4 linked regions of the Arabidopsis thaliana genome follow. The protein of the gene in region 3 interacts with the protein of the main gene of each other region in a pairwise test. Each region holds a gene or a part of one and is shown on either strand. Other genes may lie near its edges.

What was found.
Region 1: the proteins of RGL1 (region 3) and IAA2 interact in binary tests that used the Arabidopsis thaliana proteins (3 or more experiments, as listed by UniProt).
Region 2: the proteins of RGL1 (region 3) and IAA8 interact in binary tests that used the Arabidopsis thaliana proteins (3 or more experiments, as listed by UniProt).
Region 4: the proteins of RGL1 (region 3) and LUH interact in binary tests that used the Arabidopsis thaliana proteins (3 or more experiments, as listed by UniProt).

What each region holds. Positions count from the first base shown.
Region 1 is NC_003074.8:8,179,597-8,184,057, forward strand, and holds IAA2 (indole-3-acetic acid inducible 2), read right to left. Parts: upstream 2,500-4,461; 5' UTR 2,351-2,499; coding exon 1,917-2,350; intron 1,825-1,916; coding exon 1,473-1,824; 3' UTR 1,050-1,472; downstream 1-1,049. Other genes in the region: AT3G23020 (Tetratricopeptide repeat (TPR)-like superfamily protein), read right to left, coding at 1-147. UniProt on the Arabidopsis thaliana protein: Aux/IAA proteins are short-lived transcriptional factors that function as repressors of early auxin response genes at low auxin concentrations.
Region 2 is NC_003071.7:9,634,668-9,640,222, reverse strand, and holds IAA8 (indoleacetic acid-induced protein 8), read right to left. Parts: upstream 3,844-5,555; 5' UTR 3,586-3,843; exon of another isoform or gene 3,416-3,585; 5' UTR 3,347-3,415; coding exon 3,326-3,346; exon of another isoform or gene 3,118-3,325; coding exon 2,600-3,117; intron 2,503-2,599; coding exon 2,273-2,502; intron 2,177-2,272; coding exon 2,035-2,176; intron 1,949-2,034; coding exon 1,887-1,948; intron 1,808-1,886; coding exon 1,764-1,807; 3' UTR 1,478-1,763; downstream 1-1,477. UniProt on the Arabidopsis thaliana protein: Aux/IAA proteins are short-lived transcriptional factors that function as repressors of early auxin response genes at low auxin concentrations.
Region 3 is NC_003070.9:24,745,973-24,751,326, forward strand, and holds RGL1 (RGA-like 1), read left to right. Parts: upstream 1-2,132; 5' UTR 2,133-2,354; coding exon 2,355-3,890; 3' UTR 3,891-4,214; downstream 4,215-5,354. UniProt on the Arabidopsis thaliana protein: Probable transcriptional regulator that acts as a repressor of the gibberellin (GA) signaling pathway. No effect of the BOI proteins on its stability.
Region 4 is NC_003071.7:13,864,529-13,873,298, forward strand, and holds LUH (LEUNIG-like protein), read left to right. Parts: upstream 1-2,243; 5' UTR 2,244-2,398; exon of another isoform or gene 2,399-2,511; 5' UTR 2,512-2,600; intron 2,601-2,683; 5' UTR 2,684-2,706; coding exon 2,707-2,738; intron 2,739-2,812; coding exon 2,813-2,910; intron 2,911-2,997; coding exon 2,998-3,107; intron 3,108-3,188; coding exon 3,189-3,469; intron 3,470-3,564; coding exon 3,565-3,643; intron 3,644-3,746; coding exon 3,747-3,915; intron 3,916-4,103; coding exon 4,104-4,153; intron 4,154-4,238; coding exon 4,239-4,517; intron 4,518-4,988; coding exon 4,989-5,063; intron 5,064-5,182; coding exon 5,183-5,410; intron 5,411-5,588; coding exon 5,589-5,733; intron 5,734-5,814; coding exon 5,815-5,924; intron 5,925-6,065; coding exon 6,066-6,215; intron 6,216-6,297; coding exon 6,298-6,450; intron 6,451-6,526; coding exon 6,527-6,646; intron 6,647-6,847; coding exon 6,848-7,045; intron 7,046-7,172; coding exon 7,173-7,316; 3' UTR 7,317-7,629; and 1 more. Other genes in the region: GRP23 (glycine-rich protein 23), read right to left, coding at 1-11. UniProt on the Arabidopsis thaliana protein: Transcription repressor subunit of the SEU-SLK1 and SEU-SLK2 transcriptional corepressor of abiotic stress (e.g. salt and osmotic stress) response genes, by means of an epigenetic process involving histone modification (e.g.

The sequences.
Region 1 (4,461 bases), on a different chromosome or scaffold from region 3:
TTTGTCACTCTCGTGAGTTCCTGGTACGTAATTCTGCTTCAATTTCTTGAAAGATGGGAATTTATCGAGAGGCGAAGAAATCGGTAAGGTTTTTGTAGAACAGAGAACATGTAAGCTACTTCCATCTAGACGAAGATTCAACAACATTTTTCAACTGCAACGAGCATTAGTTTATTCACTAGAGAAAAGGAAAAGAATTTGCACCGCCAATTGCGACGAAGGTGGTATATACTTCTCCGGCGAACGTGATTCTCTGTAAAATTCTGACGAGATTTTTTTCTGGCGTTGTTGCTAATGGATAAAATTGCGCGCGCAAAGGTCCTTTGTCCGATTGGAAAGAGAATACATTTGAGGATTAAATTGATAATTTCGTAATAGTTTAAGCCCTTAAAGGAAATAAAAAGCTGTAAACTCCTGAAGTTTTATTTATTTATAGAAAACAACTCTTTATATATTTGATTTCCAAATAATCCCAAAACCTTGATCATATGCACATAAGAACCCTATTAGAAGAGAAATGATTTTTTATTACTTGGTTCACATAATGAAAAAAACATACTTGAAAACTAGTCATTGGCGTTCGGTATTTTGGTTCAGTTCCGGTTCGAGAACTTCCCATGAGCCCTTTTGTAGTCTAAAAATCTATAATCTTAAATTGTGTTTTATTAATATTATTATGTTTTTATGTAATATTAATAACCTTTACCCTAGAAAAACTAATATTATTTTCTCAGTTTTATTATATTAAATTGTGTTTTTCAATTTCATATGTTATCAGACTTATATTATTATGTAATATTTTTTTACAATTGGTTGAATTGTTTAGGTTAGATATTAATTTCTGTTTTTAATATAACAAAATTATTACATAATAATTCTTGCAGTTTAGCTAAAACATCTAATAAGCTGAAGAGACAGAGTCATTTACAATTCATCAAAAAGAAAAATTGTTTTTGAAATCTTTTGATCGACAAGGCCTATCTATAGAATTGTGGATGTGTTTTGGGAAGGCATTATAGAAAATTTGTCTCATGTGGTGGTAAATGTTTTGCTGAATAAGTAAATAATAACCTTGGTTAAACTTTAAACAAAAAAAAAAGTTAATAAATAACCTTGGCTAAACAAATGTGTATAAGTTTCTGAAATTTAAAATATTATGTTCGTGATCAAGAACAGAAAACTGATGATCTTATAGGACATAACTACTTAATACATTATACATCTATAGATTGTGTATGTGTCCGTATTATACATAAAATCTCATGTATCTTTACATCAAACTTCAAATCTAAATACAAAAACAAAAAGAACATCACTAGAGATGGATCTCTCGTCGGACAAAACCCCGAAGTTTCGTCTTTCACGGTCAACTTTAGTCAAACTCCGATCCGAATCAAACCAAAAAGGGTTTTTCATTCATCGATCATAGTCATCATCTCCTTTTTAGACAAAAGATTCTCAGCTTCTCTGGATCATAAGGAAGAGTCTAGAGCAGGAGCGTCGGATCCCTTCATGATTCTGAGTCTCTTACAAGAAGAAGAGAACATGTCCCATGGAACATCACCAACCAACATCCAGTCACCATCTTTATCTTCGTATGTTGGTACAAATCCAGATCCTTTGTATCCTTCTCTCTCACAATATTCACCAATCATGACTTTGAACATATTCTCTAACGCTTTGAGAAGCTCGGGGTAGTTTTTGTATGTCTTGAGATCGATCTTGCGAAGGTAAGGAGCTCCGTCCATACTCACTTTCACGTAGCTCACACTGTTGTTGTTCTTACGGGAAGATCTCACTGGTGGCCAACCAACGATTTGAGTTCTGTAAATTTGAGGAAAGAAAGATTAGTAAAACTATTCAAGAGCCAATAATTTGAAAGAAGCCAATTTGAAACTCAGATCTCTTCTACTTACTTGGTAGGAGGTGTAGATTCTTCTTCATCACGAGTTTCCTCAAATAGACGCTTGTTGTTACTTTTAACGCAAGAAACCTCTTGTTCTTCTTTGATCTTCTCTGTTCTTCCGGGTAATCCAAGACATAGCTCTGTGTCCTTAAGGTTAAGCTCGTTGACTTTCTCGTACGCCATTGCTTTTGGATCAATATCAATCTTTGTGTTTCCTTCTTGTGTGTTTTCTTGGGTACTTTGTTCTTCTTGTCTTGTTCTTCTTCTTCTTGTTCTTGTTCTTGGTGAGCTGGTTGATGAGTTTTGGAGAAAAGGGGAGAGAGATATATATAAAGGAGCATCGAAGTTAGGGTTAAAGGAAGAGAGAGAAGTGTTGTCGGAAGCATGAAAGGCAAGAAAGAGGCAAGGGGACAAAAGTGGGACACGAAGCTTGAGGCCGCCCATGTGGACACGACTCTTTTGTTTAATTATTCCACGCTCCTCTTTTCCCTCCGCCAACTTTGTTTACGTTAACATCTTAGCCGTCCATCTCTATTGCCTCTTCTTTTTCTTTCAAAGGATGTATAATAATTATAACGAAAGAATATAAAAATGAATGAAATGATGAGAATTCTATCGGCCGACCCGGAATAAAAGCAAACAGAGAAAATATAAATAAAGTAAAGACTAAAGAGGTGTATTATAATAACATTTATTTACTGTTTCTTAAAGGTTTCTTCTTCTCTTTTTGAAAGTGTATAGTGCAGGTTATAAAGAAAATATCAAGTGCTAATGATTGTTAATCCATTTGTTGCATAATAGATATTCTTAATATATATTTAAATATAATGTGTTGTCTTAAAATTTGATGTGAAAGTTGATTATTATTTTTAGTTTACTTCTATTGATTTATTAATTTTTAACTTAAAAGATTAATAGATGTTTTGAAAGTATGATGTAAAAATTTCGATTCAGAAGAAAAAACGTATGGTGTAAAAAATGGTTAAAAGGACACTTATGTCAAATAAAGTACTATTTTATTGAATCCTGATTCCAAAATGAAGATTATTTAGAGTTTCCAAGTACTCTTATGTGTTACGAACTATTGAATGTGCATAAGTTGAATTTTATCATTTTTGCTCGTAGATGTAATTTGATTAATAAAGAAATATTAGTTTTATGGTTAAATCTCAGATAATATCGAATATTAAACGTTACATATTTGTCTTGCGAAGACATATTTATGCGTGGCATTTTGTATATTGTGAGTTGGAAAATGTTATAACATTTTGTGTGTAGATTTTGATTTTATAATAGGAGACGAAGACCCATGTGGATAAGGGTCAAATGTGTTGGTAATTGATAGAGGAATGGTAAAGCCATGTGCTTTCTTATGTGTATGTCTCTTTTAATTATTCATTTCCCTTCAAAATGGGTTGTGGGGGAGAGAGGTTCCACGTGCTATGTATTCATTGAATCATAAAACTTAAAAGAATGAACCAAAAAGTGGTAATTAATTTCTCCCCATAGATTACGCTTAACTATGTGCATTTAGCTTCTAATCCGCATGCGATTTGATGTTAACGTTAGGCTTTATTCAATGGATTTACCAATTTTGGATATTATTTGTTTTCTCTTCTTTTAAGATAAAGATTCCTTCTATGTTCTTGCCCCTTCCATCACCAAAAGATTAGATAAGTAAAAGCGATGCAAGATACGTTGCCTCTCTTCTTATAAGTAAATAATTTAGAGGTTCTGATTGTCAGAGTTTTATGTATTATTTCCAGTTAATAACGAACTCATGCAATGTATTTTCTCACAAACTGAGAGATGCACGAATGAATACCATTTGTCTGTTAAATATTGCACGAATGAATACTAAAGGTTAACCATTTACAGATTTCTAGAATCACTTAACATGGTGGGAAACAAACTTCTTGAGAATAGTTTTTTCCTGTTTGTGTGTTCATGCATGTTTTAGTCTTAGTGAAAATGTATTATAGAAACATAACTACTAGATCTATGTGATGCTTTATGCTTATATAGATGATTGCTAAAGTTATTTGTTGGTTAAACTAAACCTTTTTACTGAAAACCATTTAAGAAAGTACAAGAGAATTCAGTTACTGTTTATTATGGAGTTAATTCCATGAATATATATTGAACATTAAGTTTTGCCTAAAAAACAATATTGAACTTAAGCCAAATACATAAATCATTTTTAGATTATTTTGGTCTCTGTGGTCAATTTAATGTATTAATTTATGTACTGAATCAACAGTTGTTTGTTCTTTTATGTTAATATTTGATATTTTTTACTCTACAAGGACTACAGATTCTGATGACAATTTTAACGTACATATCTTGAAGAGGTACGTGAATAACTATATGAACTAGCTAATAGATTCTTAATTTTTTTTGGTTAGAAATATTAACCGTGTTTTAATTATCATGGTAAAAATGTTAATTATTTTCTACTTTAATTTCTCGTTTATTCAAAAAAAAAAAGTATGTCATATATGAACAATTTTGAAATTTAAATATAGTATGTTTTACTTGATTATAGTTTCATACCA
Region 2 (5,555 bases), on a different chromosome or scaffold from region 3:
TGTAGCATTCAATGTTCAATAAATCGGTTTAGGCGGCGACTAGACACCCGCTTAGGAGTTCATGAACCTTCGAATGCCCAATTTTAAGTAAAATTAGCCGCTTAAGTGTCTGATTTGTTTTATACAAAACATAATTTTCAGTAAGTCAAAAACATTAATCAAAAATAAAATAAAAAATACTTGATTACTAAAATTGTAAATTATGAATTAACTATTTTCAAAAAATTTAGTTTTTTTTTGTTAAAATGTTTTTAGGACTGAACTATTCTAGTTTTCATATAAACCAAGTGTGAATATATATAATAAATTCAAATAGATGACATTTATAACTTTATATATTTTATAACCAATGTTTTGATATAAAATTATGAAAAATAAAATAAAAATGAATAAATAATATGTTAACGTTTAGGCCTCGCTACTCTCTTTGAGTATTGGTATTATTACCAAAGTCAAATATCATAAGCTTCTCTAAAATTAATTTGATCAATGAAAAAAAGAATTAGTGGTTCATATGAAAGAAAAGCATTAACAAGACATATGACTGTGACTGATATAATTGTTCTTACGAATAGCAAAACAATCAAATTTGAAAATAAAGTCAACGATGAAGTGCACTAACCACAAACTCATTTAGAAGTGCTACATTTGTGCAAATCACTGAGTCCCATTTGATAAGACTAATTTGACAGCTGATGTCGAATATCTAAAGAAAATTAATACTCTTTTAGATGTAGGGAAGAGGGAATTAGAATATGAATACTAACATTTAAGAAAAAAAATTAACTTCATATAAAGTGAGAACTATATATATTTTGTAGCAATACATGTATTGTATTTTATATATCAGAAAAATAAAACACATAAATTGCAAATACAAAAATAAATCTTGGTTTTAGTTTATGAAACTTTACTATAAAATAAAATAGTGTGGATAAATTTGGAGCTCAAAGATAAATAAAATTAGATGTTAGTAAAAAAAAAATTTACAAATACGAGTTAACAGAGCTCACAATTCTCAAAAGAAGTTTGCTAAAATTCAAATTTTTATGCGTCACATTCTTTTATTATCTTTCCTTCGTTTGGGTAGCTATGTTAGCATCTACCTCTATTAGAAGTATGAGACTATAAATTTGTCAAACTCTATTTTGCTCACTACATAAATGTTCTCCTTTCTCTCTATCTCATCCACTCTTGCTCCACATGTATTTGATATGCCCTCTATTTCGGTAAGGTGAGGTTTATTTATCTACTCTTCCTACTCACCAGTCTTCTTTATACGTTATTATATGTATGTTACAAAAAAATCGAAAACAAAAAAAATATATATATGTAGTTACATTTTTTTTTTGTTCTTCTAGTATTTAATCTGTAAGAATATTGTAGAAGACACTATTGCGATTAGTCTAAAGCTTATCCAGATTTACACACTTTCATGTTTTAAAGATAATAACCATCATTTGAGATTCCACTTTGTGTGGTTAAAGGTTCTTTATCGTAATTATCACTTATAGACTTTGGTACTAAGTGCTAACAATAAACAAATCAAGATTTTGCGTAGAGACGAAATATCTTGAAGGTCAAAGTAGAAACACACACATAAGAATGTATTTGTTTTGAACAAGCACACACAAATAAGAGAATCCAAAGTCTTACAACACAAATTAGTAAAAAGACTAAAGAGTTTTCAAACACATCAGTAAATAAAACTTAAACATTGGAACTGTGCATAGTGTTTTTTTTTTGTCTTGAGCATCTTCGTTTCAAACCCGCTCTTTGTTCTTCGATTTCTCCACTGCACCTGGAGCTGCCACAGAATAAATCAACAATGAAATGAGCCATTGAGTTTGTATTCAGATTAGGGGGAAAGATGTTGGAAAACTTACCTAAGCCAATAGAATCAGAACCCTTCATGATCTTCAGTTTCTGGCATGTTTCAGTAAATATCCTGCAAATAGGTTTTAACAAGGATTCAACTTTTGAACGGAAACAAAACCACAGTTATTAAAGCTGAGAGTTCCAAAAGAAGCTTACTCCCATGGAACATCGCCAACAAGCATCCAATCACCGTCTTTATCTTCATAAGTAAGCACAAATTCTGATCCATGAAGAAGATCCTTCAGTTTAATCTCGCTCATTCTTTCCCTCCCTTGAGCACCATGAAGACCACATTGACCTGAGATCACAAACAAGAATCGAAATCACTGTTCTTTGGTTCATTCTGTTTTACAGTAGAATCAATGATTAGCTTAAATACATAGTAAATTCTCACCAAGGGTGAAGCAGCTGAACATTTTCTCAAGTGCAGAAGACAACTGTTGATAGGAAGTGTAAGTTCTCAAGTCGACCTTTCTCAGATACGGAGCACCATCCATGCTCACCTTCACAAACAGAACACCAAGACCAGGTTTCCCATCAACCTCATCAGTGTTCTTCGAAGTAGAAGAAGCCATTGTATTCTTCCGGTATGATCTGATTGGAGGCCAACCAACAACCTGTGCCCTGCAAAACAATAGACACAGATTACCACAAGATTCGTTCTTGACTCATAAACAAACTCATAAACAAACTCATAAACAAATCATCATATAATACACACTTGGCAGCTGGTGCATTGTTCAAGCCACCCTTAGCATGAGATCTTTCTTCTTGAATACTCTTCGAGACATCCTTAACTTTCGGCGACAACATCATGTTGATTCCTCCTCCAGGTCTAACAGATCCTTTCACACCCGAAAACTCATCCCAAGTGTCAGCAAATCCTCTCTTGTTACCAGAAACAACATTCTTATGCCCTGTAGTAGCAGAACCATTGTCTTTAGAAGGTAGCAACGGGAAGAGAAGCTTCTCATCGGGTGTTCTCGGACTCAGCAAACCGAAATCAGTCTCTCTCTCAGGAGATTGAGACTCAGGAAGACCTAGCCTCAGTTCAGTAGCTTTGAAATTGAGATTGCTCTTCCCAACAACATTGGGAATAGTTGAGCTATCAACAGAGGAACAATCAGAGAGACCCAAGTAGTTACGTTCTTTCAAACAAGGTGACGTAACCAGTTCATCCTTATCCACACTTAGCAATCGATAAGACATCAGATCTTCAATATGCAGGACTTGTTTTATCTGCTTAGCATCACAACAACAAGAAGAACAACCCAAAATCAATCTAATTACATAAAAATCTTCACTTTCTATAGATGCATGAACAAAATTCTCAATTTTAAGAAGAACCCAGAAAAATTAGGGTTTCAGATGAGAATTGGGTTAGATTTGCTTAACAAGTAAGATAAAGTTAGAAACTTTAACCTAGGTTTCATAGCCAGAATTCAACCTTATCGTTCCCAGAACTCATCTTCCCCAAAATCAATCACTTTCCATTCAAAAACCAAAAATTTCTTACTCTAACTTCTTCAGCATTTCCCTAAAATTCAGAATCACAACTAAATCACTTACTTACGAGAAAAATAAACTAAACCCAAATGATAATGAATCCAAAGAAGCTACAAGAACCAAACAAACAAACCCAGATTGAAAATTGAAACTAGAGAAGGAGGTTTCAATAGTTCCTTTTAGAGAAATTGAAACTAGTACCTGAAGAGAGAAGAAGAACAGAGTACGCAGAGGATCAAACAAACACTAGAAAGAGAGAGGATAGTGAGAGAGAGAAAATGCACGAAGGGAAGCAGAGAGGTCAAGGTCCGTCCATGGAAAATGAACCAGAGAAAGCTAACAAAAGCGCAACAATCAAGAAGAAGAGAGAAACAAAAACATGGAAGGAGTGGTAAATTTAGTAATAAACTACAAAAGTAAGGGTATTAAGGATAGATTAGGTTTGTTCGTATGTGGTGTGGAGTACTGTAGTTAGATCTGACGGTTGAGAATGAGTAAGTGAGAGTGATTCTGAGTCGTTAGATCTAATGGAGAAATAATAATAAATACATGTCGTTGTTATAGGTAACATGGTTTCAGGTTTCTGTTTTGTAAGGAAGCTTAAAAAAACATGAAAATATTATTAATTTTAATTTGATTTATATATTTGAAATGACTTTTTTTTGTCTCTGTTATTCTTTTTATTTTATTTTGTAGGTCCACAAATAACATGCGTGTGTTTATTATATTTTATTAAAATTATTATATGGTTTTAGCAATAAGTAAAATCAAATCAGATTGTTTTATGGTATATTTTCTTTTGTTGTTGTTAAAATGATTTAGATAGAAATGGGACCATCCAATATTTAAGAGGCTGAGTGGTCTAAAATACCTATAAATTTAATATGTTTTCCATTATAATCAGAGTTTCAATAGTTATGGGACCACGTATCGGTTTAAATTTTGTCTGTCTAAAAATATGCATACCGCCAATGAAAATTACAATGGATAAAAAAAAAGTAAGACAGAGCATTTAACAAGTGGTAAAAAATGAAAATTTACGAAAAAGAGTGTTAAATATTCTTCTACTCGTTTATAATTATGGGCTGAGAGCAATTAGCAAAGGAGAGTGATGATACGAGAGAGACAAGAAAGCAGCAATTGAACTTTGTTTTGCCGGCTGCTTAATATGCTCTACTTTTGGTGTGGTATAGTTATGAAATGTACAATAATAGATACCATAATTTAAGTAGACTCACAACAAAAATCAATGTATAATTATTTAGTTAAACTAGTGAGGAGATTGCACGAGGAACAAAATTCTAAGAACACAATCAATGTGAAAATGAGAGCAAATGAAAATAGAAGTGAAGAGTTGTATATTTGAAGAAGAAGGTCATGATCAAAGAGACACGTTGGAAGCACGCTTAAAGAGAAGGGAAACAACCAAATCAGGCTTTGCAGCTTCACTGTTGTTCACATGCCTGTCACCTAATTCCATCATCACCCGCGCTCTTCCTTTCTTTCACATCATACGTCACCGTCCCGTAGCTATACCATTTATCACCCTCTTGTCTCCCACTCTTTTTATTGTTCTTGTTTCTTTTTTTTATGTTCATTTTTTTCTCACTCGAAGGTTAGATTATATTAGAGAACCCATTATATTACTAAGATTTTTTTTAATGTTCATTACTTCATGTTTTTTTGTCTCTATAAACAAAATTCATTCTGTTGTTACTAGGGGTGTCAAAATGGGTAACCCAACCCAACCCAACTCATAATCAAATGAGTTTATGATTAAATGAGTTATGGGTTGACCCAACTCATTTTGTTAAATGAGTTGGGTCTAACCCATAACTCATTTCATTTGATGGGTTGAGTTGTTAAATGGGTTAACCATTTAAATAATAATTTAATTAATTATTATTATAAAACAATAATAAATAATTATCATCATCATTAATTCATTATTATTAAATTTGAGATATTTATTGATTCAGAAATTTTTACGAGTTTACATTTTTAGACGGTAAAATTACGAGGTTACGTTTTGTGACGGGAAAATCACGGGGTCATGTTTTTTTGGCGGGAAAATCACGAGGTTACGTTTTTTTGGCGGGAAAATCACGAGGTTATTCTCATCTTCTAGTGTAAAGTAATCCCACATATCTGATGTTCTACTTCTTTTAAAA
Region 3 (5,354 bases):
CTTATTGTACTTTAGGTCCTCGTGAATTAATCTCTCGGACGAAAGTGTTTAGCATGTAGTATTTTAGCCCATTATTTGGGTAACCAATTAATGTTTATTCCCTTAATGTATTGGTGATGATAAAAAGAGCAAGTAGACTACTAAGTTCTTACCAACCAATAACCGAAGGTACCAAACGATTCGAAATTAAAAAGAACGAATAATACTGATGAAAACTGTTGAATTAAACAATGTCATAGAATATAGTCACTTAATTATGACTATTTCTCTTTCAAGGCACTAATCATCCTTGTAAATCATCATACTTTCCAACAAGTATTAGTAAACAAAACCTACTAAACTAAAATAGAACCTTAATTTTAATTATCATTGTTTAGACATTTTTACATACATGTTTTGAGGAAAAGTCTCCTAACTATCATAATGATCAAGTCTAGTCTACTATTAATAGCAAAGAAATTAAAGAAACTATCAAAAATATTTGGACCTAGACATCAACATCTAACAGTATAACCTAATCAATCAAAGTAACAATCTTGGTTCGAAATGAGGATATGCATTATGTGAAAAGGGTCATTGTAGAACTATGAAAAATGGTTATGCATATGGGGAAGCTTAAAAATGTTTTATGATTGCATGTATCTTTCTTAAAGCTCATACCGAAAGAGCTCCACATCTAATAATGGTCGTAACCACACAGTATTTTATTTATTCTCCATCTATCGCCTTTTGAACATGTCTAAAACACAAGTATATAATAAAAATGCGTATTACAACACAAAAATATATAATACTAATATCGCTAATAAGAATATAGAATGATATTATTATATATTCTTGTTGGGTTATTTTGACGACAGTTCTTAAGTCAACTTAATTATTTTTGCAAAAGACATTTTTGCACGTTAGTTGTAATTTTTTTTCGCAACTAAAAATATATGCAAATATTTTACATAAAACATCTTTTGCTTTGTTTTGTCAATCTCTTATGCTTACACTACTTGATAGTCATTTCTTTGAGGAAGAGCGCCAATCCTACAAAAAAAGTAAGAAATATTTATTGTTACAAAGGTGATTCGAATTCGAGTGATAATTTCACAACGACGCTTACAAGAATAGCTAGATTTCATGTATTTTCCGATTACCAATTTTTTTTTGTATCAACAACAACATGCATATGAGTTTGAACTTCGACGGTGTCACATCAGCTCTTGCACACTAGCACAAATCACTAAATTACGTTTTTAGTCAATTAAAAATAATAAAACATATACAAATATGACCACAATCATAATACTACAATTGAATGGCGATGATATAAATTCAATTTTTGTATTAGTAATACGGTTTGAAAATCTACATTCGAAATGTGAAACGTACAATGCCATCATTATGCAAAAAAAAAAACAACTTTCAAACATTATTCTATATGAAATGGAGGAATTGGTAAAAATAGAATTCATTACATCACCTAAAGATTAATCACCCGATAATATAAAAACAGAAAACTAAACAAGATTTCCCTGAAATTTATAGTTTAATATATTTTCTTATGAACATAATGAATTTCTTTATTTATTCTCATTTATGAAGATGATATAAAAGTTTGAACAATAATCACAACACAACACATAAAAAGTAAATCTCCTAATCACCAAAAACTATAAAAATGAAATGTATGTTTTTGTAGTTGAAAAAAGGGTGGTGGTTGGCTTTAGAAATTGGACTTTTAACCTAAATGTTTCTCTACAATACAACTTCCAAATCATAACCGTTATTTAATATTACACCTAGTCTTCATCAAATAATCAAAATCACAAAATAATCAAATATCAAAAACAAGTTGTTATAGTTTTTAATCAAAATAATTATGACATAGCATAGATTATAGAATATCTCGTTCAAATAATGATGTCAGGTTTACATCAATCAAACTGAATTTTCTCGAGAAGCATATTTTGAAAATTAAAATTTATTCGCAGAAAAAGAAGAGAAAGGAATCTACTATTATTTACTGTATATTATATAAAGAGGAAAATAAAATAGGTAAATAAATTTCCTTTTATAATTGCTTTAGATTGCGGTTGTACCACGGCTCTGCTCTTGCTTTTAAGAACTTGCCGGTACTAAATTTCATATACTCCAATTAAAAGCTAGCTCGAAACCCCAAATGTTATTTTATTTTTCTATATAATAATAATCATACATTATAAAAAAAAATCATATCATTATTTAAAAATAGAATTTTATTTTTCTTTCTTCTTCTTCAATTATTATGACACTCCCGTGTTCCTAATCTTTTCTCTTATTCTTCTCTTTCTTCTCATCTTACAAAATCTTGCAAATCAATTTTAATGAAGAGAGAGCACAACCACCGTGAATCATCCGCCGGAGAAGGTGGGAGTTCATCAATGACGACGGTGATTAAAGAAGAAGCTGCCGGAGTTGACGAGCTTTTGGTTGTTTTAGGTTACAAAGTTCGATCATCCGACATGGCTGACGTGGCACACAAGCTTGAACAGTTAGAGATGGTTCTTGGTGATGGAATCTCGAATCTTTCTGATGAAACTGTTCATTACAATCCTTCTGATCTCTCTGGTTGGGTCGAAAGCATGCTCTCGGATCTTGACCCGACCCGGATTCAAGAAAAGCCTGACTCAGAGTACGATCTTAGAGCTATTCCTGGCTCTGCAGTGTATCCACGTGACGAGCACGTGACTCGTCGGAGCAAGAGGACGAGAATTGAATCGGAGTTATCCTCTACGCGCTCTGTGGTGGTTTTGGATTCTCAAGAAACTGGAGTGCGTTTAGTCCACGCGCTATTAGCTTGTGCTGAAGCTGTTCAACAGAACAATTTGAAGTTAGCCGACGCGCTCGTGAAGCACGTGGGGTTACTCGCGTCCTCTCAAGCTGGTGCTATGAGGAAAGTCGCGACTTACTTCGCTGAAGGGCTTGCGAGAAGGATTTACCGTATTTACCCTCGAGACGATGTCGCGTTGTCTTCGTTTTCGGACACTCTTCAGATTCATTTCTATGAGTCTTGTCCGTATCTCAAGTTTGCGCATTTTACGGCGAATCAAGCGATACTTGAGGTTTTTGCTACGGCGGAGAAGGTTCATGTTATTGATTTAGGACTTAACCATGGTTTACAATGGCCGGCTTTGATTCAAGCTCTTGCTTTACGTCCTAATGGTCCACCGGATTTTCGGTTAACCGGGATCGGTTATTCGTTAACCGATATTCAAGAAGTTGGTTGGAAACTTGGTCAGCTTGCGAGTACTATTGGTGTCAATTTCGAATTCAAGAGCATTGCTTTAAACAATTTGTCTGATCTTAAACCGGAAATGCTAGACATTAGACCCGGTTTAGAATCAGTGGCGGTTAACTCGGTCTTCGAGCTTCATCGCCTCTTAGCTCATCCCGGTTCCATCGATAAGTTTTTATCGACAATCAAATCAATCCGACCGGATATAATGACTGTGGTCGAGCAAGAAGCAAACCATAACGGTACCGTATTTCTCGATCGGTTCACGGAATCGCTACATTACTATTCGAGCTTATTCGACTCGCTCGAGGGCCCGCCAAGCCAAGACCGAGTGATGTCGGAGTTATTCCTAGGACGGCAGATACTAAACCTTGTGGCATGCGAAGGAGAAGACCGGGTAGAGAGGCATGAGACTTTAAATCAGTGGAGAAACCGGTTCGGTTTAGGAGGATTTAAACCGGTTAGTATCGGTTCGAACGCGTATAAGCAAGCAAGCATGTTGTTGGCACTTTATGCCGGGGCTGATGGGTATAATGTGGAAGAGAATGAAGGTTGTTTGTTGCTTGGATGGCAAACGCGACCGCTTATTGCAACATCTGCGTGGCGAATCAATCGTGTGGAATAAAAATAAATAATGGGAAAAGTGAAAATGTGCTATATACTTTATTGCATTGCTGATAAAGAAAAAAAGTCCCACGTTTTCCAAATTTTATGAATTCTAAATTTTGTTCACTTGTCACGAGATTTTGACCTCGCATAAATAGACTATTACGTCAGGGTCAGGCCAATGAAATGATTTTTTATCACTTGTTCTCATTAAGGTAAAAAAGGTCTTTTCTATTTCATCTTTGGTTTTCGATAAAATTAAAATTGAATAAGAGATGAAATAATGATATATATAAGGTGATAGTCTGATAGATATGGATAAATGTTTCATGACACGAACCAGTAGTCAAGTTCTTTTGAGAATAATCCTAAGACCATGGACTTTAAATAGATTGGTTAAAGGGTCATTATCTCTTTAATTAAGGAGGACAGTGGTGTGTTTAAAATGTATTTGTGCTCTTTTGACGTTGATTTAATTAGTACCCACCGCCAAATAATATATGAGCATTCCTGTTATCGCATGTTGACATCATTTTAAGAAAATGATTTTCGTAGGTAACATTTTGTTGGTAATCAATTTAACAACTACCAATTTTATTACTTTTAGAAGAAATATGCATGAGCTGACATAATTATACTGTACATAAGTTCATAAGTTTCTGTCGGTAGAGAGGTTTGTTCATCAGGAATTCGTAATGACGCAAAACATAAATTTGTCTTTAGAAACTTTATATGAATATATAAATTTGGGAAACTATTATAAATCCTCATAAATTTTAACAAATTTTCAAATACTTTTACCTTTCTAAAACTTTTATATGTTGTTTCTTATAACTTACTTACACAATTTTGTAACAATTTTCCAAGTATAACCAGAATTGTTTTGGTAATAAAACCTTCCTCAGAATATGTTCTTGGAAACGAGATTTTAATTTGATGGGCATCATCATTCTTCGACACTACAACCATTTTAAAATTTTGTTTTACTCGTTGAAAGTATTTTCTTTTCAATAATGGTGCATTCTAGGTTTGATTAAATTGTGAAGTCCAAACCCAAGCCCAATAAGGGAAGTTTGAGGCCTAACCCAACTCCTAATATAAGTTTCTCGTGTGTGTAATTCTATGATATTACCTTTTTACGATAATTTAATTAGTCATTTTAAAAATCTTTTAATGAACTAATGACGCGTCGAAGCCGCGATTAAAAGCTGCAAAAGTACATGCATGAAGTCAATGTATAACGCTTTCTATGGTATTGACCTTGGCAAGTTTAAATTTTTTAGGCTCATATTTCGGACCATTTAAGGAAAGCAATATCTAGAAATGGAATGTAATTACAAATGTTCTTAAACACGACACCAGTCATTTAGGAAAGAAACACGAGACTTTTTCTCTTTGGTTTTGACTGATTTTTGAGGTCCTTAAAATTAATACCGAAACCACTTCAGAGGTTAAGATGTCACTTCATCATTAATTGTCCTAC
Region 4 (8,770 bases), on a different chromosome or scaffold from region 3:
ATTAAACCCATAATTAACTGGTTCGTTTTATATGGTGTATATGAAAGAGAGATCGAAGACAGTAGTTGTGTCAGTGAAGCTTAGTCTTGACCTCTATATATAGACATATCGTCCACTCGTGAGTACGTTACATACATAACCGGTTTTGCTTCTTCTTTTTCTAGGTTTCTTATCAATTCCGGTTTAGTTTAGTTTGTTGATTTGTTCATATATACTCAAATTATTCTATTTCAGAGGTTGAAATGCTTGGTTAAGGCGTAACCGTGAGGAAAAGTGGGAAACCGGAATTGATTAAACCGGACGTATTAACTTGTAAGAAGGCGAAAAAAATAAATTGGTTGAGTAAACTAAATTAAATGAGGTTCACCTGTCATAGGACAATTTATTTATGTCTGCCAACTGCCCAGTTGATCTCATCCAACATAACAATAAAAATGAAATCAATGTACATTTGATGAATTCAATAAATAAATAATATCGATGTATATATATATGCACATGAAATGAAATGTATATCTTATTTCCGATTAAGAAAATGAGCAAACGATTCTAGTGGGCGCCGATGGTGAAAAAACCTGAAATTGATGAAAATATATACTACAATTGGTTCATGTACTTTGTCAAATAATAATAATTGGTTCATGTTCTAAAAACCAGACTGATCATATTCGTAGAATGCAATCATCAGTTCACCATATGTATATGATTCCTCATAAATCAACCTTCCATGGATTTATAGCAAAAAGAACAGTGTGTTTCTCTTTTAGTGTATTTTCATAAAAGACGTACCATAAATGAATAAATTGTGTCGTTATCAAAAAAACAAAAGTTTATAATCGTGGCTGTTTTATTTTTCCTTTTATAGTTGAAGGACATGTCTACTACAAAGCCATTAATAATATGAGGGCTCTTTTGCATTATTCAAGCCCTAAATGTGATCTCATTTAGTGAAAAAAAAGTGATCTCATTTATTATGTCATTAATGGCTCAAACCAAACACATATTAAACCTTTCATTTTCCAAACTAACAAATAAAGAAAAACAGATAGGCTTATACATTATACATGCATCACCCACATAGATTTAGATTATTAAAAATTTGAGGTTGACTGGTTTGAGCTGTGAATGTAATCTTTTATTTAATTTGGACTGTTTGTTGTTAGAATAATGGTTGGGACTTAAATTTTAAAGTCAACTAGTGATTTGAAAAAAAAACGAGGCTTAACAAGAATATTTAACTAGTTAATCTAGGGCTAACTTGTTAGTAAGAAATTTAAGAAATACGTTTAATACTTCATAACACTACAAGTGTGGATTGTTCATTTCACATCATAAAGTACTAAAACTTCAAATTAAGTGCCAAATGAATATCCTATGCATTTTTTTTTTGTAAAAAAATTAGATTGGTTCTATTGAGAATATGCATGCAATCTTTTGGTTACAGACCTCTAGTTAAAGGATTTTAATTAGTTCTTATTTTCTATTTAGAATTTGAATTAGTTTCATAAAACATATGCAGTGATCAGTTTATAAGGTCAAATCTCACCCTCAAAATACAAACATATTTCACGAGTTTGCCCAAAAAGAAAGAACTAGTATTTGACGCAAGTTTTCATTTTGAACCATTCGTAAGCTATAACTAGAAGATTAAATACGGTAGAATAATGAATGTATTATGGGAAAAATGTTAAAAAAATCGCCAACTTTTAAAAATGGGACAAAAAAATCGCCAACTCCTGAAATGTCATTTAAATCATATACTTTTGGTTGACTTTTCCAGAAAGATAATAAAGCAAAGATTCGTAATCAACAAAACTTTGCTCTGTTATCTTTCTAAAGAACTCAATCAAAAGTATGTGATTAAAACGACATTTCAGGAGTTGGTGATTTTTCATCCCATTTTTCAAAGTTGGCAATTTTTTTGACATTTTTTCCAATGTATTATTGAGTGTAGCTACATGAAGTATGAACCATTTATCTTGACATAGCATTGCGTACTTTGAAAATAATTTCTTTACTAATAAAAAAACCTACACTTTTTTTTATAATAAATTTTTTCACTCTGTTTAGAAACCATGAATTGGCTGCTCTAACGATTCAAGAGAAATTTCGGCCTACCTTCGAGTTGACTTTAGATTAAAAGTCAATCACAGGCCCAAAAGTAAGCCCATAACTAGGTCCAAATATCGAAGCCCATGAATAAACTTTTTCATCGAATCCTAAAGCTAAGCATCAAACCAAACATCCGATGATCTCTCCAAACTCATCAATCTGATCTATCTCTCTCTTCCAGCTGTTTCATGATCGATTTACTCTTAACTTACAGCTGATTACAATTCACTGTAATCTCTCAAGAACCCTAGATTCTTTTTTTTCCTTTTCAATTGTGATCCGTCAGGTATGTGAATTCGATTACTTTCTATATCAATTCAACGAATTCCAAAAGTCATGTTCGCGTATAAGCAATTTAACCTTGTCGATTTCTTTATATTTTCTCTGTATGTGTAGCAGCAATGCTTGATCTTTAAATTTACTGATATCTGAAGATCGAATTAGGGTTCTGATCTACTTGATATTTATTTGTTTGGGCTTTTATTCAGGTTAGTGTCTGTTTATTAAAACAATCGAATTATTCTGAGTTCATATCATTTCTTTGGATTGAAGATTTGAATTCCTTTTATAGCAGCTCGATCTTGGGCTGAAGCTATGGCTCAGAGTAATTGGGAAGCTGACAAGATGTAAGTTAATTTTGTATTCAATAAAAGCTTATTTTTTTTCAATTCCTTACTTTGATATCTTTGTGTTTTTGTAGGCTTGATGTTTACATATATGATTATTTGGTGAAGAAGAAACTTCATAATACTGCTAAGTCGTTTATGACTGAAGGGAAGGTTTCTCCTGATCCAGTTGGTAATATTACACTTTCTTTGTTCCACTTTGTTCTTTCTTAATTTTAAGTTTTGATATGTAATTGTTTTTTGTTGTGTGAATGATTAGCAATTGATGCACCTGGAGGGTTTCTTTTTGAGTGGTGGTCTGTGTTTTGGGACATTTTCATTGCAAGGACGAATGAGAAGCATTCAGAGGCTGCTGCAGCTTATATAGAGGTGAATGTCTTCTACTAACATCTGGGAATATGTTTTGTTAGTTTTGAATTACGTAACTGACCAGTGGTTTTGAAATTTTAGGCACAACAAGGTAAAGCGAAGGAGCAGCAAATGCAAATACAGCAACTGCAGATGATGCGCCAAGCTCAAATGCAGCGTAGGGACCCTAATCATCCTTCTCTTGGCGGTCCAATGAATGCTATTGGTTCTGAAGGGATGATTGGGCAGTCTAATGCTAGTGCTTTGGCTGCTAAAATGTACGAGGAACGCATGAAGCAGCCTAATCCTATGAATTCTGAGACATCCCAACCTCATCTTGATGCAAGGATGGCCCTTCTTAAATCAGCAACAAACCATCATGGGTAAATTGGCTCAGCTTCTTTTTTGCTGTCGTTTTTCTAGTCCTCATACCTCTGACCCCTTGTTGTCCTTTCTTTTTTTTTCTGTCCCTAAACAGTCAGATTGTCCAAGGAAACCATCAAGGAGGTGTTTCGGCAGCGCTGCAGCAAATTCAATCACGAACTCAGCAGCCCACTGTAACTACTACTCGAGCACCTTACTTTATACTGTTCAAATTTTCTAACAGACAAGTCTCCAATCAGATATTTTGGTGTACATCTGAATCTCTTGTACGTGCAGGAAATCAAAACTGAAGTTAATTTGGGTACATCTCCAAGACAACTGCCAGTGGATCCTTCTACAGTTTATGGCCAGGGAATTCTGCAATCAAAGCCTGGGATGGGGAGTGCAGGTAAATATATCAATGTATTGCATTGTAGAGTAATCGCTCACCGAAAAGAAAATGGTGGTAAAATACGTGGTAGTATGCCTTCTATGGCAATTAGTTGACTATGGACTCCAAAATTTAAATATTACTTCCCTGTTATGTGCAAAATCATGATGAATTACATAGGGTGATATGCTAATGGCATCACGAGAATCTTTTGCTTACAATTTGTATAAATTCTTATGGTGTTGTGTTTGTCCCTTGTGAAGGATTAAACCCTGGAGTGAGTGGTCTTCCTTTAAAGGGATGGCCATTAACTGTAAGTCTCTGTGGTTCTTCTAAGAATTTATTTGTTTGTCATTCCAAGCCCAGTATTTTGCTAAGTTTCTTGACAAATGTTACAGGGCATCGAGCAGATGCGACCAGGTTTAGGAGGCCCTCAGGTTCAGAAATCTTTTCTACAAAATCAAAGTCAATTTCAGCTCTCGCCGCAGCAGCAACAACATCAGATGTTGGCTCAGGTTCAAGCGCAAGGAAATATGACTAATTCACCCATGTATGGTGGTGACATGGACCCTCGAAGATTTACAGGATTACCTAGAGGAAACCTTAATCCGAAAGATGGCCAACAAAATGCAAATGATGGATCTATAGGGTCCCCCATGCAGTCAAGTTCGTCAAAGGTAAGACTTTCTCAAATTACCAATAAATGCATATCCCTGTTGGATGCAGTGGAATCTGTTGAGCTGCATTATATCATCTTTTTCGGGTAGCAGAGAAAAAATGAAGCATCTCATTTTTTCTGTGTTCCGTTAAGTGGTGTAATTGGATCATTACGTCTGTCCTTCTATGCATTTTTTCTGATAATTGCTCGTCTATGCTTTAAAATTGTACTCTTTTGGGTTATCGTCTGACTGCTATACTTTCCATTTGGAAAATGTGTAAGGTAATGTGTTTGTGTTATCCTAATGTAGATCTACATAGGTATCAGAATTTTGTTTTTTCTTGTTAACCACATGAACCCAATAATAGAGAAAACTTATCCGCAATTAGTAGCTGATTACTACCAAACATGGGGACTTTACTGCTAAAATTTTATCAATCACATTTTTTTCTTCTGATTTTCTCTCTTTCCGTTGCTTGTTGGTCTATAGCATATCAGCATGCCGCCAGTACAGCAATCTTCTTCTCAGCAACAAGATCACTTACTATCCCAGCAATCACAACAGGTACTTTTATGTGGATCCAATCCCTCAAGTCTTATCAAGCATGTGGTTTTAACCAACTGAATATATTCTTTAGTGTCTGAGATGATTGAGCCACAACTTCCTTTTCGTGTATCTGATAGAACAACCGCAAAAGAAAAGGGCCTTCCTCTTCTGGTCCTGCTAACAGCACAGGGACAGGAAACACTGTTGGCCCATCCAACTCACAGCCATCGACTCCGTCAACGCATACCCCTGTTGATGGAGTTGCTATAGCTGGTAACATGCACCATGTGAATAGCATGCCAAAAGGGCCAATGATGTATGGTTCTGATGGGATCGGTGGTCTTGCATCATCAGCAAATCAACTGGTATGTTTCTTAATTTCTCAGAAGAATGATAACGACAATCTAGTTTTCCTCCAATAACATCTGGATACAGCATGCAGTTGTGTTGTGTGAAACAAGTGCTTTCTTAGCAGCTTGAATATTTTTTTTATATCCCATGGGGCCGTGTTTCTTTCAGCTTTCTTATGACAAGAATTAATAGCTGCAGGATGACATGGACCAGTTTGGAGATGTGGGAGCTCTAGAAGATAATGTAGAATCATTTTTGTCCCAAGATGATGGAGACGGAGGAAGCTTGTTTGGCACCCTAAAGCGGAACTCTTCTGTGCATACCGAAACCTCAAAGCGTATTCTAACACCCCAAGGATAAGTATGATACAAGTAGACGATATAAATATATACTAACACGGTCCTTTTTCTCGTTTCAGCTTTCAGTTTCAATGAGGTTAGTTGTATAAGAAAAAGTGCCAGTAAGGTCATTTGCTGTAGCTTCTCATATGATGGGAAGTTGTTGGCTAGCGCTGGACATGATAAGAAGGTGCAACTTCTTAATTTCTGAGATACGGTTTGCTTATAAACTTGTCATGGCCCTAAAACAGCTATAGATCATTTATAGGTAGGTAACATTTTGTTTGTTTAAAAACAGATAATGTGGATGCAAATTTATTTTTGTCAGTAGGTATTTATATGGAACATGGAAACACTACAAGTTGAGAGCACTCCGGAAGAACATGCTCATATCATCACAGATGTTCGCTTCAGACCGAATTCAACTCAACTGGCAACGTCATCATTCGACAAAACAATCAAAATCTGGGATGCTTCTGATGTATACTAATTTAATTTGTTTCTCTTTTATTTGTTGCAATTTTTCGTGTTCTGCTGTGACTAACTACTACCAATTTGTGCAGCCTGGTTACTTCCTACGAACAATTTCTGGTCATGCTGCACCTGTTATGTCCATTGATTTTCATCCTAAGAAAACCGAGCTTTTATGCTCCTGTGATAGCAACAATGATATTCGCTTTTGGGACATAAACGCCTCTTGCGTTCGTGCTGTAAAGGCAAGCCCCTGACCTTTTGTATGGTTTCTCTGGGATGTGAACTCTGTTTGCTAATCGTTGAATTTTCCAAGCACAGGGGGCTAGCACGCAAGTACGTTTCCAGCCAAGAACAGGACAGTTTTTAGCTGCAGCGTCAGAAAATACTGTGTCAATTTTTGATATTGAAAATAATAACAAACGGGTCAACATTTTTAAGGTAGAGCTGAAGATGATATATTGATATTTTTGAATTCCCCGGGTCAATCCACATAAAAGACTAAAAGCTTTGTTTTTTACTTTTAATACTTTGAATCTTCAAAGTCCAGTGCATTTTTCTTGTTAGATGCATTGGGGCATATGTTTAGATGTCGTAAGTGTTGATCGTTACTCATGGCTTTATTTACTTTTGATCTGGCAGGGACATTCCTCAAATGTACATTCTGTTTGTTGGAGCCCAAACGGAGAGTTGGTGGCGTCTGTTAGTGAAGACGCTGTAAAATTATGGTCACTGAGTTCAGGAGATTGCATCCACGAGCTTAGCAACAGTGGAAACAAGTTCCACTCTGTTGTTTTTCACCCTAGCTATCCCGATCTCTTGGTCATCGGTGGCTATCAGGTATAACCTATATCCCCATTTCTCAAACAAATAATGTGTCAAACAATATCTAGTCTTATGTTCAAATGTGTGATGAGGTGAATGTGTCTCTCAGTTGTTTTAACTTTGGTAAACGAATCTGTGACAGGCTATAGAGCTGTGGAACACAATGGAGAACAAATGTATGACGGTAGCAGGCCACGAGTGTGTGATCTCTGCCTTGGCTCAGTCGCCTTCGACGGGAGTGGTTGCGTCTGCAAGTCATGACAAATCCGTAAAGATTTGGAAGTAGAAATATTTCTATGTTCGTCTGAAAAGAAAAGGAAAAAAGAAGAAATAGCAGAGAGCTCAGGACTTTTTTTGGGTCTAATTTTTTTTTTTTTTTTAATGTTACATTAATAAGTTGGTTTTTTTTTTAAATTGGGTTTGTTTATGTCAAAAGCAAAGAGACTTGTGATATTTCCAATCTTTGTCTAATGATCCTACTTCTTTACTTCGTTGTTTTGATCTCTAGTGTTTAGAGTGAAAGAGAGATGTAAGTAATTTCTCTAGACCAACTACATTGTTGAATAATAATTTCTTATAATCAGCCAAACGCTTGTTTTTAAGGTCTCTTTACGAATATCTTATAATGACACTGCATACATTAAGTTGGTTTAAGATGAATACAAAACTCTAAGCATGCACATTGAAAGTACTCGTACGTTAAAACTTAGGATTAAGGATGAGTTTATTATCTGCTTAGGCTTAAATTGTCTTTGTTCTGGGTTACTTATTGAACTTCTAATATAACCGCATCTTTCTTGAATGACTCTGCCTCTCTTTCAAAATTATTTGTTTCAGCATCACTGTAACATTTATTGTAAAAATAGTTTTTTTGGGTTTGAATAAATTTAACTTTCAACTCAAAAAAAAAGAAAAACTCGATATTATATATAGAAAACGGAAATGTGAAACATAAGGAGAAGTAAAAAGCACGGTTACGTTTGTGTTTGTTTACAATTTACAAACACGTCTAACTTGGAAAAACTAAAATAAATGTACTTTTTTTTTTTTGGTCTAAAATAAATGTACTTTTTTCTTAAACATGAACTTATTTTTTGTAACAGTTGAGTGGTTGAATGAATCATTAATTTAAGTTATCTTTAGTTTCTCAATCGATAATATATACCTACTCAAACCTTTATACAATACTATAAGATATAAAATACTCCTACTCCTTCCCAATTCTCAAAACTGCTTAAACTTTCATAATCATCTAACTCTTGTAATTTATATAATCTAGTCATTAGATTCATCAGTATATTCTCAATATTACAAAGGCTAAATATCTTATGCTACATTATCCAAGCAATTCGCAGAAAACAATAAAAATAAAATTGTCAAACATCATAAGCCTAGTAGAGAAGTAGAAGTTGACATTCCAAATTCGTCCAATCTCTACCTCAACTAGATTTAAAACTTTTTATCCTAAGGTAAGTAAAATACACAAAAGTAGAGCAAAATACGATCCTTGAATTAATTCAGGTTGTGTAACCGTTCAATCTTTTCTAACGCTGTGACACATATTTGAACCCAACTAACTCAAATTTTTTTATTTTAAATATAATTTATAAATGTGGAAAAAAATAATAAATTTATAAATAAAAATATATGTCATCATTTCTATTTATAAATATCGAAATTATTACACTCAAGTTCTAAAATATTTTTTTTTTTTAAAAACTAAAGTGAAAAAATAGCAAA